3 linked regions of the Arabidopsis thaliana genome follow. The protein of the gene in region 2 interacts with the protein of the main gene of each other region in a pairwise test. Each region holds a gene or a part of one and is shown on either strand. Other genes may lie near its edges.

Region 1 (3,929 bases), on a different chromosome or scaffold from region 2:
ACGCTAGTAATCTTAGCTTCCACATAAAGACGTCAAGGTCGAACCAAACGCTTTAAAAAAAACTAAACTCTACCTTAATGAGAAGAGACAATGAAAAGGGTTGTTCTAAGACAACAGTCAACGGAGACTAAGGGAAAAAAGGGTTTCAGACTCTGAACGCTTACATGAATGCAAATCAAATTTTATTAGGAAAGTGAATCACTTTTATATGGCTTAGGAAACATGACTTGAAAACTAGAGTAACTAATGTTGTATATAATTTAATGCATACTATAAATAATCAATAGTTTCCCCAACCATGGTGATTTACCAGGGATACTCTGTCTCTCTTGTTACTCAGTTTCCAAAATTTCCATATTCAAAAATTTAGATTGTATAATTTAAACACACTTTAGTTTGGATATGATCAAGGGTAGTTACTTGATACAGTTTAGCTCCTATATTCAAGGGATTGCATATATTTCATTTTCAAGGGATTAACTACTTCTTCTATGTTCTGCTTTGATTTATTGATTTCTTCTAGAAAACACATCTTAAACTTTTCTAAATTTAATGTTGGTTAAAGTAATTTAAAAAAAAAACACTTCAAGCGCACAATGCTTTAGCACAAAATGCCTAAGAAAGAACTCAAGACATCAACCTATAGAGGATCTCCACAAAATGTCTCTGCCTTATCAGAGGGCAGTTTTTCAAAGCCTTGTCTAAAACATCTTAAGAACATCATTGAACGAGAGAGGAACATTAGCGGTCAAGTCATTTGCTTTCTCCTTGTCTAGAATATCTTTCAGGTCTAAGCGTTTCTGATTGAGTTTCTGCAAATCTTCCTCTATTTGTTGCAGCCGAGCCTTACCATTATCCACATTCTTCTTCTTTTCCTTTACTTCCTTGAGCTTCTTCTCCAACCAATCCACTTTAAAGCCACCTTGTGACACGAATAAAACTGCAATGGATGCTTCATCCAGATCAGTATCAGAGAGCTCCGCAGGCAGTTGGCACAGCGTTTCAATTATTCCGAGGAGTACATTCATGTATAATGTCTTCAGACATGGTTTCATTGAAGGGACTTCTGATGCAATGTTTGGGTATATTTCAAATATACGCTTCACAGATTCTACCTGTGAAAGAAGAAGAAAAAAATATCATAAAAGCTTTAGAAGCCCTGAATACATACAGAAACATTTTGTACATCAGAGTATTTAAATACAGAAAACCACAAAGAAGTATACTCGCATTAATCTTAAGTTTCTTACCTGTGAAGGAAGAACTTGAAACCCATTGACATCAATGATTTGTTGAGTCTGTTTGAGTAAATCAATAGAGTTGGCACCATCATTATTTGATGTGCCAATAACTTCAAGAGAAACAACCTCAATAACAATTGTTATTTCTCGGCAAATCAGAAACCCTGCATCTCTTGCAAGAAGGTTGAAAGGGGGTGGTACTGTTGGATAACTACAAGCGGGAAGATTCTCATCAAAGTATAGGTCTGAATCTGTAGCATCACCACAAGTATTAAAACATCAATATCACATTAAAACTAATCTAAATCAGTCACTCATTTTGCAAAAAGTATAAATAGAAGAATAACCTGTCACAATGGAGCGTTTATGAGAAATTCCATTTACTATAGTTAAGCGAAGTTTTACATGTCTTCTCCATGAAGAAGTCAGTGATTGACAAGAATCAGCAACCCCCATGTATTGATAGAAGAACTCATAGTTAGTTCCCTTTGGTAAGGCTAGAAGACGCCTACAAAAAAAATCAAATCACCAGAACATAATTAGATGAAAAGTACGTTTGGAACAAAAGTTGGTTCAGTTTTTACCATCTACTGCCAGCAATCAGAAAGGGATCAGAATGACTCTGCTTAGGATAAAAAACGTTGAGATCCTTTATCACCCAGACAAATTTCTTGTCAACTTCCTTCTCCATTATATTACTCGCAATGAAACTACAACAGCATGAAGAGAATTAAACCAAATTCATGTACCTACCAATCAAAGTATCAAACACACACACTCTCCAACAAATTCTTTCTTAGTTTAACAAAGATTTTACTATGAACTCAAAGACATATGAAGTTTCAGCCAGCAGTTTAAACTACTTAAAACTAGTTGACCGTAGTTGAGGAAAAGAAATATTCTAAGACATGCAAGATTAAGGGAATAAAGCGATTACCCTTGAGAGGCGAGTTGAAAGAGAAACAGCGACTCAGAAGTCAGAACTCGTACCCACTTTGTCCAAGTTAGTCCAAGTTTGTCAGAGCTACGAACCCAATCCAAAAACCAAATTACTTGGATCGAATAGTTCAAAAACGAGATTCAACCATTTTTATAACATTAATCCTCTAAACCAAAAAAAGGGAGATATCCAATTCCAATAAGGAAAGAAACTAAAATCCCTTCTTTGGAATTGACTTTTCCAATAAGGAAAGAAACTTGGACTTGAGATTCTGTTTCCTTTTTTCTTGGTGAATAGACCTTCCAAGGCTTTTTAGGTCCTTTTGTGTTAAAGAGAGGAACAGGATGCCAAACGTTTTCAAAAGGGGTTGCCAATTTCTTTTTTGATTTTTTTTTTTTTAGTAAAGGATACAGATTTTTACAGTAAACTTAGGAAATATTTGTTTAATTTAATGAAGATAACTGACGCTTTTATATATATAATCTTGCAACAATTTGTTCAAGTCATACCCTTACAAAACAAGTAACTAAATATTAGAGCAGAAGTGAATAAAAGAACCTAAAAGATTTTCTTAGAAATACTATGTTACATCTCAATGTCTTCTAGATCTGGTAAAGGGAACCTAAGAATAGCTGCAATTCCAGTATGCTGTGCTAGTTGTTCCCCTGAAGCATGCATTGACGAAAATATAAAAACCTCTCCTCCTGAATCTTTCACCGACTCCACAAAATCCACATACTTCTTCCTTGTTTTCACGTCAGAGTTCCTAAATAGCCCATCTATAATGAGAAGTGTTTGGATTGCCATTCGTTCATGAGCAACTTCCACATGTTTTGGTCCATAACATGCTCTATTTGGATCATTCGAAAACATGGTGAAGAAATCGTTGAGAGCTTTGACCTCTTTTGCTGCTTTAGTATCTTTGATCATATTCATCACGTTAGGGTCATGCAAAACCTCGCTTAGGCTATGTTTATATCCTGAGTTTGTGTGCACCAGAATGAAACGTGATTTGTTCTCAAGAATAGGTCTCAACTGTCTTCTCTCTGCTTCCAACAATAGGTGGCGATGAAACTGATCTTTTGTAAACCCGGGACTTGCAATCACTGCGCATCGAACCACACTGAAGTCAACGTGTTTCAGAAAGGCTTGCACAACATTCTCAAAGAATTTCTTCAAAACTGACTCGTAACCAGCCGTTCCAGCTCCATGCTTCCAAGGAATCGATGTTTTTATTCGTGCACCGCAACTTTTTACACTTTTGCCGGCAAGGAAGATTTGTGCCAGTCCTTCTTGCATTAGAACTACAGCTAAATCAGCACTAGCTGCAAGATCTGAGGCCTGCTTGAGTGTATCAAGAGCCAGTGAGTCCCAATTTTCCTTTCTCAATAAAAAAGGTCGTTTAAGCTCAATCTCCAAAGTATGGAATGCACCAATCCTTACATGCTCGTTCTCCATGATATTCTTCCCGCGTATGCGCATAACATCGCCGTCTTTGTCATAGTCCACCTCCTCAACTTGTACTTCTAGCTTAAGTTTAACACGTTCAGTCCGGGTGAAAGATCTTTTCTTTCCAAGGTATTTGCTTTCTATTCGACTTAGCGATGGAGTCGAGTCTCTTCCTTCACCACCAACTTTTCTGAAAGTGATAGCCATTACACTATCCTCCGGGCCAATCAGGTTATAAGTATACCAGAGATCATCCGAGTCCTCTGCCATCATCTTAACGCTTCCGGGTCCATTACGAA
Region 2 (5,741 bases):
AAAAGATCTACATGACACAAGATGACACAATACAACATACACGGCACTCAGTAATCTAGGACTCACCCCTGCCGCCCATGAAGGATTGTGAGCATTTCCATTTCTCAAGTTGATAATATTGTAAGGTATACCCGTTGGAGTATTCCATGCAGGCAATAATCTGTCTGCAATATCCTTAGCCTTTTCAAGGAACATTTTGTCCCCAGAAAGATCATACGCACTAAGAAGTCCGCCTACAACTCTGAAGGCAGATAAAGAAAAAGAATATAAGCAGATGCAATATCCGTTCCCCATCTTATGTCACCAACTGATAATCGCAAATAAACTGACTCTTCCTACGATAATTACAGAAAACAACCACAGTAAACCTGTTAAAGCCACCTTATGGTTGTCTCAAACATACTGGCGTCATAATCCTTGTCGAAATCCAATGAGCTTGCAACCCACCTGCAAATAAAAGACAATAAGCAAATGAAGATTAGCAAAGATGAAGAAGTAAAAAGTTGGATTTGCAACTGGGACGAAAACAGTTACATATGAATAAATGAAGAGCCTGCAATTACTCACTCTCTGGCTTTTTGAAACTGCTCATCTAGACCCATTATATAGAGTGTATCTAAAGAATCTACCATAGTTGCTCCAAGGCCACCAAAGCTATCAGTGCCATCTTTTGTCCGAGGCTGACAATAAAAAAAGGAAAGAAACAAGAATAGCTTCAGACCAATATTTTTTTTGCAGAGTTCAGGAAGAAAATAATCTTAGTTCTTAACAAAATCTTTGTAGGCCTGGTAACTTCAGATAAGCTCATAATAAAAGGCTCAACAGGATACTGGAAGAGCAGGCACTAAACGTCAAAATAAAATTTGATTCATAGAGTCCGTCGTAAACTAGATTTCGTATTCACAAGGGTGAAATGTATTTTGGAAAATAATTGTATACCTGAAGCTCATCTTTCCCCCATGCATACTTTTCATAAGAGCTCCAAGCATGGATCATTGCCTCTTTTACTTTCTGCCTTCGCTGTTTATCAACTGGATCTTCTGGGGCATCCTTCAGAGTCTTCAAAGGCTTATTGCCAACACCACCATTAAGCTCTTCTAACTAGCGGAAAATATAGTTAGTTAGCTAAAACATTAGAAAGACTATCTGAGCCTAGAGTGAGGGGAAAATATTAATCTTACCATCTGCTCCAACCGTGAAACTTCTTCATTTAGCTTAAAAACTTCAACCTGCAAGACAAAAAAAAGCAGGACAAGTGAGAGAATGATCACAAGAGAAATTGTTCACTTCCTTGACATTTTTCTTATTTTGGTTACATAGCTTCTTATAAACGAATACATGAATTGAGTCCAGAAGATATTAATTACAGCTCTTTTCTAGTAAATAAAACACCAACTGTCTTACTTATAGACCTTGAGCTATGAAGGCAATCAAACCATTCCAGGCCTAAACCATATAACCTACTTCACCAAAATTCGAATTGGCCTACCAATAAGCTATGATACAAGAACTATCTCCTACTCCTAGGCAGAGTCTAACCAGATTTCATTAGACAAAACATACCTCATGTTCTCGGGCAAGATTAATACGATCCCAGACAAGCATAGAAACAGAGACGAAGACAATGAAAAGCAAAGCCAAACGTCTCGGTCTTCTAAGATAATACGCAGGATTCAAATATTTCCATATCCCATAACCACTAATCGATCTACTTCTCGCCATCTCTCTTCTCAACCCACTCAACAAAAACAGAGACCAATTGAGAAATCAGTGTCCATGAAACAGAGCAAGACAAAAGTTAAAAGCTTTTAAATTTCTGATCCGAAAAGAGTAAGAAACCGAGAGAGAAATAAGTCTCTCAAAGAACAAAAGTTATAGATCCGATTTTAGTAGTTAGAAGGAGGAAGACGAAGAAAGAATTAAAAAACGAAACTTTACCCAAAAACCAAAAGAAAAGTATTTATTTATATCTCCGGCACTTTTGCTTATTTATTCTTTTGATGATAAAATAATCAATCGAGTCTCTTTAGCCCCCACTGGTTCGTCTCTTTCTTCGATTTCTCTTTCTATCTGGTTTCCATTTTCGTCTCGTTGGTGTTCTGGTGGGTTTGGTTTGTCTCTGTTCTTCTATTTGTGGCGTTATCCATCGGTTCAATTGTCATCTTCATCGTTTCCGTCGTGTTATTTGGTGTTTCTCGTTTGGGTCTTTCGAACATCTTTCATTCTTCTCTTTTTGGTGTTGCTCCCCACGAACAGGTAACATCATCTTAACTCTTATATTGGTTTCGTGTGTCGTAATGAGGAACCTATATTTCAATGGTTTTGGATGTCGCTTTGTTTCAGGATTTGCTTTTGTTTCTTAGGGTTTATTTTGTTTGTTGAAATTATAAGTGAGTTTGTGGAATTGGTATAATATGGTTTATGTAAGGCTTAGAGCGTGGAAATATTGAAACTTTGGATTGAATCTGATTGATGCAAATATGTTAGAAGTCTGTGTTAATCTCTTGAAAACAAGCATTGATCCATAAGGTTTCCTGAATTTATGTATAGTGTTAGTTAGAACTTATATGTAAGTTGCTCCAATGACCGAGGAAGTAAGGTTATATAGTATGTGAATCATGTTTTGCTTAGAGCTGATTTGATTTGTCTGGTCATCCATGAATCGTGCTTATGAAGATTAGGTGTTTTTGTTTGAAGTTTCCAGTTTTAATGTTAATTTGTTTTACTTTCACTGTTATCATTAGGTAGATTGATGAAAAGCAACCATGGATGACCTACATGGAAGCAATGCTCGAATGCACATTAGAGAAGCTCAAGATCCAATGCATGTGCAATTTGAACATCATGCTTTGCATCACATCCACAATGGAAGCGGTATGGTTGATGACCAGGCTGATGATGGCAATGCTGGTGGGATGAGTGAGGGTGTGGAAACAGACATTCCTTCTCACCCTGGAAATGTAACTGACAATCGTGGTGAAGTGGTCGACCGTGGTAGTGAACAAGGAGATCAGTTAACATTGTCTTTTCAGGGCCAAGTCTACGTTTTTGACAGTGTCTTGCCTGAGAAGGTGAGTTAAGTTGTTACTGAGTTGGTTCGTTGATTGTCTCATTCCATTAGAATTTATATTCTTACTCCAAGCCACATTTTAGCAAGTGGTTGAAGGATCTAGTTAGCTTTGAGTTTTTTCCATCTATTGATTCTAATGTGTGAGTGCCTCTTGCTATTCGACGCCTGTTGCAGGTTCAAGCTGTGCTTCTATTATTGGGTGGTCGTGAATTACCTCAGGCAGCCCCTCCTGGCCTAGGATCACCTCATCAGAACAACAGAGTATCGGTAATAAAATATATGATGGCATTTATGGGACATAAGTTCCCTTCCTTGATACATTGCTTGACTGACTGACTGACTAATCAATGAAACAGAGTTTACCTGGTACTCCTCAAAGGTTTAGTATTCCGCAGCGATTAGCTTCTTTGGTCAGATTTCGAGAGAAACGGAAAGGAAGGAATTTTGATAAGAAGATTCGGTATACAGTCCGCAAGGAGGTAGCTTTGAGGTACATTGATGTCTAAATCAACAACTTGGTCTAGTTATACTTCTTTTATGGTTGCTCTCCCAAAATTAAGGTTCGCATCTTGATTACTTTTTGTTTTCTGGTATACAGGATGCAACGCAATAAAGGTCAGTTCACATCTGCCAAGTCAAACAATGATGAAGCTGCATCTGCTGGATCTAGCTGGGGGTCGAATCAAACCTGGGCCATAGAAAGTAGTGAGGCTCAGCATCAAGAGATCTCGTAAGTTTAGAAATGCTTTGAAAGTAAACTGCGAGTTCCTGACATACTTTTTAACTTGAACCAACTTAACGTAGTTATTATGGGTTTGCTAAGCAACTTTAGAAGTTGTTTTTGCTTCCAACCTAATGTAGCATCTGACTTAGTTATTAAACTGAACCATCCTAATGTAGAGATGATAGGTTTATTAAGCATCTTAGATGTTGTTTTTGGTTTCAGAAACGTTGTAGAGGTACTAGAACTCTGAAACCTATCAATGATTCAATATCAAGACATACACATTGCATATGTAATATTTAACATGAGCATGGACCTATACGAATTGGTAACATTGAAGGACCAATACAGACAAAATATTATATAAAAGCTCTTCCATGCCTGAAGCAAAATGACTTCTGTGATAGATGATTGGTTAAGACAGGTTGTGATGACTAATATTGTATCCTGGAACTGAGAATTTTTATAATAACTTTGGAATAGACAATTGTCGTTTAAGTCTTTGTAGATTTGAGTTTTTCTTCTTGATAGCCTTACTTTAGTTGGTAAGAACATATCTGATTTTACTTCCTCTGAATGGCTTGATACCTGTAAGATGTCGGCACTGTGGAATTGGCGAGAAGTCAACTCCAATGATGCGACGTGGACCTGCCGGGCCAAGAACACTTTGCAATGCATGTGGACTTATGTGGGCAAACAAGGCAAGACAATACTTGCTTCTTAATTTGATCAACTCTCTTTATCTTGCTCATTTTGTAGCACTAGTGATTCGATGATTAGTCTGTCTAAATGAGGACGACATTTATACTTTCAGGGTGCTTTTAGGGACTTATCCAAAGCCTCTCCTCAAACAGCCCAGAATCTTCCTTTAAATAAGAATGAAGTAAGCAACATCATGTTTTGACCAAACAATTTGTTGTACGAAAAGGAATCCATTCGTCTTTATCATAACTTGTGCATGTCTGATCTATCTTTGCAGGATGCAAATCTTGAGACTGATCATCAAATAATGATAACAGTGGCCAATGACATAAGCAACTCACAGTGAGGACATGTTGGCTCTTGCCATTACAAGCAAGAGAAAGATCCCAACAGAGTTTGAATCGCCTCAGGTTCTGTAGCTTTATCATTCCCTTTGAAAGAATCTGACTCGATTTAGGTTATCAGGATTTGATCTATGACAATGTAATCTGAGTGATAATGATCTGCAATGTTTTGCTTCTTCTTTTTTTATGATTCAAAAATGCTTTATAGACTGTTGTTGCATTGGTCCATACTCTGATGTAACGTCTAGTTGCAGTCTGTGTTTTACCCTATTTTAAAGACAAACTAACTTTATTTAAGAACTCACCAAAAGAGTAGTCTCCTTATGACCACAGGGTTGTTTTGGAGACTTAGTAGCCTCATGTAAAGTGAACCATGTTCAATGCCTCATGCTTCTCTAAGTCAAGAAACAAAAAGAGGCTTGTGAATTGTGATATTATTAGCCAAAGGAACTTGCCAAAGGAACTTGCCAAAACAAGGAGACAAACTAAAATGGTTCAGTGCGAATGTGACTGCTCCTTTGTTTTCAGTGGCAAAGATTTTTACACAGAATTTTGCCTAAAAGACTTTCAAATATCCCTTAGATCAAAAAAAAAAAAAAAAAAAAAAGAGACTTTAAAATATCCCAATTTGTGAGAGATATTTTAGATTCCATTTTTGTTTTTATTTTAGCTTAATAGACAAAATCTTATTTCTTGCATTTTCTCTTCTAGTGAATTGTCTCATCTTATCATGAAAATCTGAAAATCTTCTCATAGTTTCATTTTTTAATAATATTTATATTGACTTTTTAGCATACCAGTCATTACATTTCAATTTTTCTGATAAACTACATTACAATGTTATTAGTTAATTTATGAGAGCTAAGCTTTGGAAATAAATGGTATAAAAGAATATTCTTAT
Region 3 (5,614 bases), on a different chromosome or scaffold from region 2:
CTCATATCCGTTCATAATACTCTAACATACCTCTATCAACATGAGCTTTTCTACTAGCAGAGTCAGCAATGGAAGACTTTCAAAAGTCCTGTACCTGTATCTATATATAAATTCTTGTATAGTGAGCATTACTTACAAGATGAGATTTCCTCTGGAGATTAACCGAGATACTAAACCTAACCCAGATGATCGAATGAAGGAAGCAGGGCTCACATGTAAACATCAAGCTTTACCAAACAAAAGAAATACAAATCAACTGTTCCTAAACCAAAATGAAATTTTTACATCTTTGAACAATCTAGCTTCTGTGATTAGTTTATCCTATCAAAGCTTGTAACCATCATCAACACACTAAACTAAAACCAGCTCAAAAATGAAGAAAAATACACACTTACATTTCAGGACCTTCTTCGCCATTCTCAGCAATCCTAGGAACTTTATTCATCCCCGACTTAAACGAAGCATTCCCTCGTCCACCTCTCCCTCCAGGCAACAACAACGCCCTCTGTCCCGGATGCAACAACTCCAAAAGCACCTCCTTCTCCTCCCCTTCCTCACCCTCCACCTCACTCCCAACCTCTCTAGCCTGTCTAACCACCGTCCCAGGAGCCACTTTCACCACGACATTATCACCTTTAGCTCCACTCTGCATCTTCCCTCTCCCATGTTCCCCACGTCCCGCCCTGAAATGCACACTCTTGCGAAATGGCAACAACGAATTCATAGACCCATCAACCTCTACATACACATTCCCTCCTCTCCCTCCATCTCCACCTGAAGGTCCTCCAAAAGGAACAAACTTTTCTCTCCTAAACGCCACCACACCATTCCCTCCATCTCCGGCTCTAACATATATCTTCGCTCTATCGAAACACCTCATCACAGCCGGAACTCCTTTCTCCTTCACCCCAATTTCATCCTCTTCCTCTTCACCGGAGAAACATAACACTTCTCCATCCTTCAATTCAGACCCTTCACTATCATCTTTCTCCGCATCAGTTTCATCACCATACTCAAACACTTCGTCTTCCCAATCTTCATCATCTTCATCAATTGATCTTGAACTCCCTTCAAACACATCTAATCTTCTGTAATTTCCCCAAATATCATCATCATCATAACTCTTCACCTCCTTTTCTTTCTCTTCTTCCTCAATTTCCCTCAAAGTTTCAATCTTTTCCTCAACCCTCGCGACATTGGACTCAGATAGCTTCACTTCTTCAGAAACTTTTAAATAAGATGAAGACAAAAGAGAGACATCATAGTAATCTTCCCTAGGAGGAAGACGTGTATAAGTAGTGGCTTCGCCGCCGGCATCAGAAACTGGCTGGAGTTTATCACCGCCTCGAGATTTAAGCTCGACTTCGCGTTGAAGCTTCGTTTTTCTAGGGCTTCGGGTTCTTCCCGAGACTTTGTCAGGTTTAGCGAAAATCTTCCTCGTCCTACTGGGTCGGGCTAGAGCTTGAGGAGTGAAGAAACAGTTAATGGATATGGAAGCCATTTGTTTCTCTGATAAATCTTAACGGGACTTTATGTGATATAAACAACATTTTGTACTAAATATTGATTTTTCAAAGTAAAGGGGGTTACAATCAAAAGTAGTATAAAATTGAGGACTTATATAGCAAACAAGGAGAAACTTTTATTACCTTTGAAGTTTGAAGCTTGGATCTCGCAGATTGAGCTCCAGAGAGGGAGAGAGAGAGAAAGGGGGCGCTTTAGGGTTTCTGCAGTTCCTGGTTCAGTCTCACCATTCTATTTAAGGGTTTTAATCTCTCTGCTTCATTTGGTGACTAACATTTATCGTCGAGGGTTGTGACGATCTCCGAGAATGTATAGCGGATCTAGCGATGGTGAGAGTCATGATACATCGACGCAGAGGAAGATCCCACCGGCGTCTTCGATGCTTTGGGTTAGAAATCTACGACGATATATTGGTTCCGGTGCCGGATTAGGATCCGAAGCTCTAATGGGTAATGTTCCTTTTGCCGGTTGTTGCGTTTTGGTTGTTGGGACAGTCTGTAGTTTTTTTATCTTTTAGCTTGTGATGATGTCATAAATTCTGTAAAGTTTGAATCTTTGATCACATTTTAGAGCTCGTTGTGTTTTCAATATGAGTAAAGTTCCTGAATTTACATGTCTATGTATTGAAAGACTATGTTTAACTGTGATAGAGTCTTTGGTTTTGCTTAGTTTGATAAGGGTTTGTGTTCATTGTTTTGTAGAGCTTGAGACGAAGAGAATCTTGCTCGAGATTTTTAAAGAGAAGCAACAGAAAAGCCAAGAAGCAGGCACAATACCGAGTTTCTACAAGAAGGCATGTCCCTTACTCTGTATAAAATGATTGCCTTTGCATTTCAAGGCACTACTCGGTTAAAATATTGCATTGTGTTATACACTTCATAGAAGTTGTTTTTCCTTTTAAGTATTCGTGTTAGGCAATAAAATTTTGTTCCTTTACTCTTGGTTCAGAAACCAGAAGAAGGATCTATTAGTCAAAGGGTCCAGAAGCTTGCAAAGTACCGTTTCTTGAAGGTATTTCGCCTGCTCTTAATTATTCAGAAGAAGTTTAATGTTTTTGCTCACTTCGATATGTTGATTAATTCCCACAGAAACAATCGGATCTTTTGTTAAACGCTGATGATTTGGCTGCTATGTGGGTTTGTTTGAGAGAAAATTGTGTGATTGATGATGCCACTGGTGCTGAAAAGGTACGTGCATCTTTTATAGGATTTTTCTCTGGAGCTGAAACTATGTTAACAATGATGCTGATATTGCGCTGTCTTTTTCATGTAGATGAACTATGAAGACTTCTGTCACATTGCCTCTGTATGCACTGAACAAATCGGTCCCAAATGTCGCCGGTTTTTTAGCCCATCCAATTTCATGAAATTTGAGAAGGATGAGGCTGGGAGGATTGCCATTTTACCGTTTTATCTTTATGTGATGCGCACGGTGAGTATCCTTATGTTTTTATAATGTCATGTCTTTGGGTATCATTTTTGTTCATTGGCTGAATATCATCTGTCGCCATAAGCTAAATATTCTTTGGTACTGTGTTTGAGTGACACCAGCTTTGCTAGTTTTGGATGTTTGTTTTTCAAGTTTTTTTAATTTGGCGTGTCTTTTACTTAAACAACTATAGTTAATACTTGTTTTGATTAATCATATGTTCAACACTATTCAGGTGTCGCTTACACAAGCTAGGATTGATATGAGTGAGCTTGACGAAGACTCTGATGGTTTCCTTCATTCTGATGTAAGTACTCAAGTGGCTCTAAAGCTTTAACTTTAGAATTGGCTCAAGATTCTTTAGGTAGTCGTCCTACCTGCAAATGTCAAATGGTGTTGACTTTTATGTCAAGTTCCTTACAGTTAGTCTACTTGCTGTTGTTATTATAGGAAATGGAGTCCTATATTGGTGGTCTAATCCCTAATCTGGCACAACTGAGAGACATGCCTCCGGCCTTTAATCAAATGTATTGCCGCATAGCTTCACAAAAGTTTTTCTTCTTCTGTGATCCCCATAGGCGAGGTAAGTGAAAGAAAATATTATTATTATTAGGCAATTAGAAATTTCTTTGACCCAGTATTCAATCGCTCGTAAATGTGATATTTTTTGCGTACAGGAAGAGCCTGCATTAAAAAGATACTGCTCAGTAACTGTCTGCAGGAACTAATGGAATTGCATCAGGTAAGTTTAGTTGAAGGATGTATGACATACAGCTTCGTCACCGTATAACTTTCCACTTTCATAAGCTACTTGCTTGTGTTTTCTGATTGTTCCTTGGTTACTCAACGTTAGGAAAGCGAGGAGGAAGTCACAGACACTGAACAGGCAGAAAATTGGTTCTCTTTGACTTCAGCCCAACGCATATGTGGTGGGTGTGCTATTTTGTCTTAATAGCTGCAGAGAACTGGAAACAACTCTCGTTATGTCATATTAAGAACTAAAATGGAGATTGATCTAGAGTTTCTCTTTCTTCTGTAGATATGTTCCTCGCACTTGATAAAGATATGAGTGGATCGCTGTGCAAACAAGAACTTAAAGAATATGCTGATGGGACCCTAACTGAGATTTTCATTGAAAGAGGTAAATTTAAGCCCTTTTGGTGATTGTAGGCTCGTGGTACTGATCGAGACACGCTTAGTATACTAATTCCCCTTTGTTTTTTTAGTGTTCGATGAGCATGTCCGCCGTGGTAAAATCGTGGCAGGCAATTCCCGGGAAATGGACTTTGACAGTTTCCTCGATTTTGTTCTTGCTTTGGAGAACAAAGATACTCCAGAGGGTTTGACGTATTTATTCCGTTGCCTTGATCTCCAAGGGAGAGGCTTTCTCACTACTGCTGATATTCACTCTCTTTTCAGGTAATGAATCTCTATGAAGCGACTGAATCTGTTTGGTTTCTTACTTTTTAGTAAATTTTGTTTGAAACATGGAAGTAAAGAAGGGGAGCATCAAAGAGTTGTGATGTTATCTGATACAATCTTCCTAAATAAACACTCTGCATTTCCTGCTTGCGGAAGCTGAGCTTTGTTCCGCGAGTCTCATATCTGCAAAGACACTAGTGCATATCAAACACACCATTGATGTGTGATAATGCCATTGTCTCTCTTCTGAATTCATCTGTTTAACTTGCAGAGATGTTCACCAGAAATGGATAGAAGGTGGGAACTATGAACTGTGCATAGAAGATGTTCGAGACGAGATCTGGGACATGGTGAAACCGTCTGACCCATTAAAGATCACTCTGGGTGATCTCTTGGGATGTAAACAAGGTGGAACCGTTGCGAGCATGCTTATAGATGTGCGTGGCTTCTGGGCTCATGACAACCGTGAGAACCTTCTTCAAGAAGAAGAAGAACCACCTGAGGAAGAGTCTCAGTGATAATGTTATTTTCTATGTCTACCTAAAAAAAATGCTAAATCATTGAGATCAAAAGTCTCGCACTAGTAAACAGTCTCATCTCATGTGTGTGTATCTTTGTAAGCTTATTAGTTGGTGACGTTTAATGAAATGGCTGTTTATATCGTCACTTGTCTTATTCTACTTGGGATCTGATTTGATTTTTGACATTTCTGAATTCACTTCTATTATACATTACTCCACAACACACATGAATTCAGTCATGTCTCGAGTACTACAAAATGGAAGTCATAAAAGTTATCGTGTTGTCTCTGGTCTGTGTTTAGACATGGAAAGGCTTTCTGGGTGTAGCAGCTCTGTTCTCTAGAGATTGTAATCTTTGCTTCAGATGAAACACTTCAACCTGCGTTCATCTCAAGTTTTTAGAACAATACTACATTTTGAAAATGCAAATTTGAATAGAGTCTATTGATGATTATGATGACACCTGCAACTGGAACGCTCTTGCTCTTTCTCCTGCAAGAACTCCTCTTGTTGAATGCAACTCCTACAAAACCCATAACACAAAACGGTATTAAACTTTAATCCTCAGTCTTTTGAAAACGCTTGTATATCTACTAGGATTATTTTACCTTTTGTGTATCGTCTAGGACAGCTTTGAGGAACGCTACATCATGCTCAAGCCTGACATTGTCGGAGTGAACCATGTTTGACAAACTATTAGCTTCCTCTTGAGCGAGCTC

Evidence for each region.
Region 1: the proteins of ZML2 (region 2) and AT3G58380 interact in binary tests that used the Arabidopsis thaliana proteins (3 or more experiments, as listed by UniProt).
Region 3: the proteins of ZML2 (region 2) and FASS interact in binary tests that used the Arabidopsis thaliana proteins (3 or more experiments, as listed by UniProt).

The regions. Positions count from the first base shown.
Region 1 is NC_003074.8:21,597,264-21,601,192, forward strand, and holds AT3G58380 (TRAF-like family protein), read right to left. Parts: upstream 2,346-3,929; 5' UTR 2,179-2,345; intron 1,952-2,178; 5' UTR 1,933-1,951; coding exon 1,826-1,932; intron 1,750-1,825; coding exon 1,589-1,749; intron 1,493-1,588; coding exon 1,251-1,492; intron 1,116-1,250; coding exon 702-1,115; 3' UTR 536-701; downstream 1-535. Other genes in the region: AT3G58390 (Eukaryotic release factor 1 (eRF1) family protein), read right to left, coding at 2,767-3,929.
Region 2 is NC_003070.9:19,130,411-19,136,151, forward strand, and holds ZML2 (ZIM-LIKE 2), read left to right. Parts: upstream 1-1,810; 5' UTR 1,811-2,256; intron 2,257-2,744; 5' UTR 2,745-2,765; coding exon 2,766-3,071; intron 3,072-3,244; coding exon 3,245-3,337; intron 3,338-3,426; coding exon 3,427-3,560; intron 3,561-3,668; coding exon 3,669-3,800; intron 3,801-4,389; coding exon 4,390-4,495; intron 4,496-4,608; coding exon 4,609-4,677; intron 4,678-4,773; coding exon 4,774-4,842; 3' UTR 4,843-5,220; downstream 5,221-5,741. Other genes in the region: MNS1 (alpha-mannosidase 1), read right to left, coding at 67-241, 382-447, 568-680, 940-1,101, 1,182-1,229, 1,564-1,722. UniProt on the Arabidopsis thaliana protein: Transcriptional activator that specifically binds 5'-GATA-3' or 5'-GAT-3' motifs within gene promoters.
Region 3 is NC_003076.8:6,173,323-6,178,936, forward strand, and holds FASS (tonneau 2 (TON2)), read left to right. Parts: upstream 1-1,649; 5' UTR 1,650-1,831; coding exon 1,832-1,973; intron 1,974-2,225; coding exon 2,226-2,317; intron 2,318-2,472; coding exon 2,473-2,535; intron 2,536-2,612; coding exon 2,613-2,711; intron 2,712-2,796; coding exon 2,797-2,955; intron 2,956-3,187; coding exon 3,188-3,259; intron 3,260-3,402; coding exon 3,403-3,535; intron 3,536-3,629; coding exon 3,630-3,694; intron 3,695-3,805; coding exon 3,806-3,881; intron 3,882-3,991; coding exon 3,992-4,093; intron 4,094-4,178; coding exon 4,179-4,371; intron 4,372-4,381; exon of another isoform or gene 4,382-4,645; coding exon 4,646-4,892; 3' UTR 4,893-5,079; downstream 5,080-5,614. Other genes in the region: EMB269 (GTP1/OBG family protein), read right to left, coding at 396-1,501; AT5G18590 (Galactose oxidase/kelch repeat superfamily protein), read right to left, coding at 5,194-5,274, 5,359-5,418, 5,504-5,614. UniProt on the Arabidopsis thaliana protein: Probable regulatory subunit of type 2A protein phosphatase involved in the control of the dynamic organization of the cortical cytoskeleton.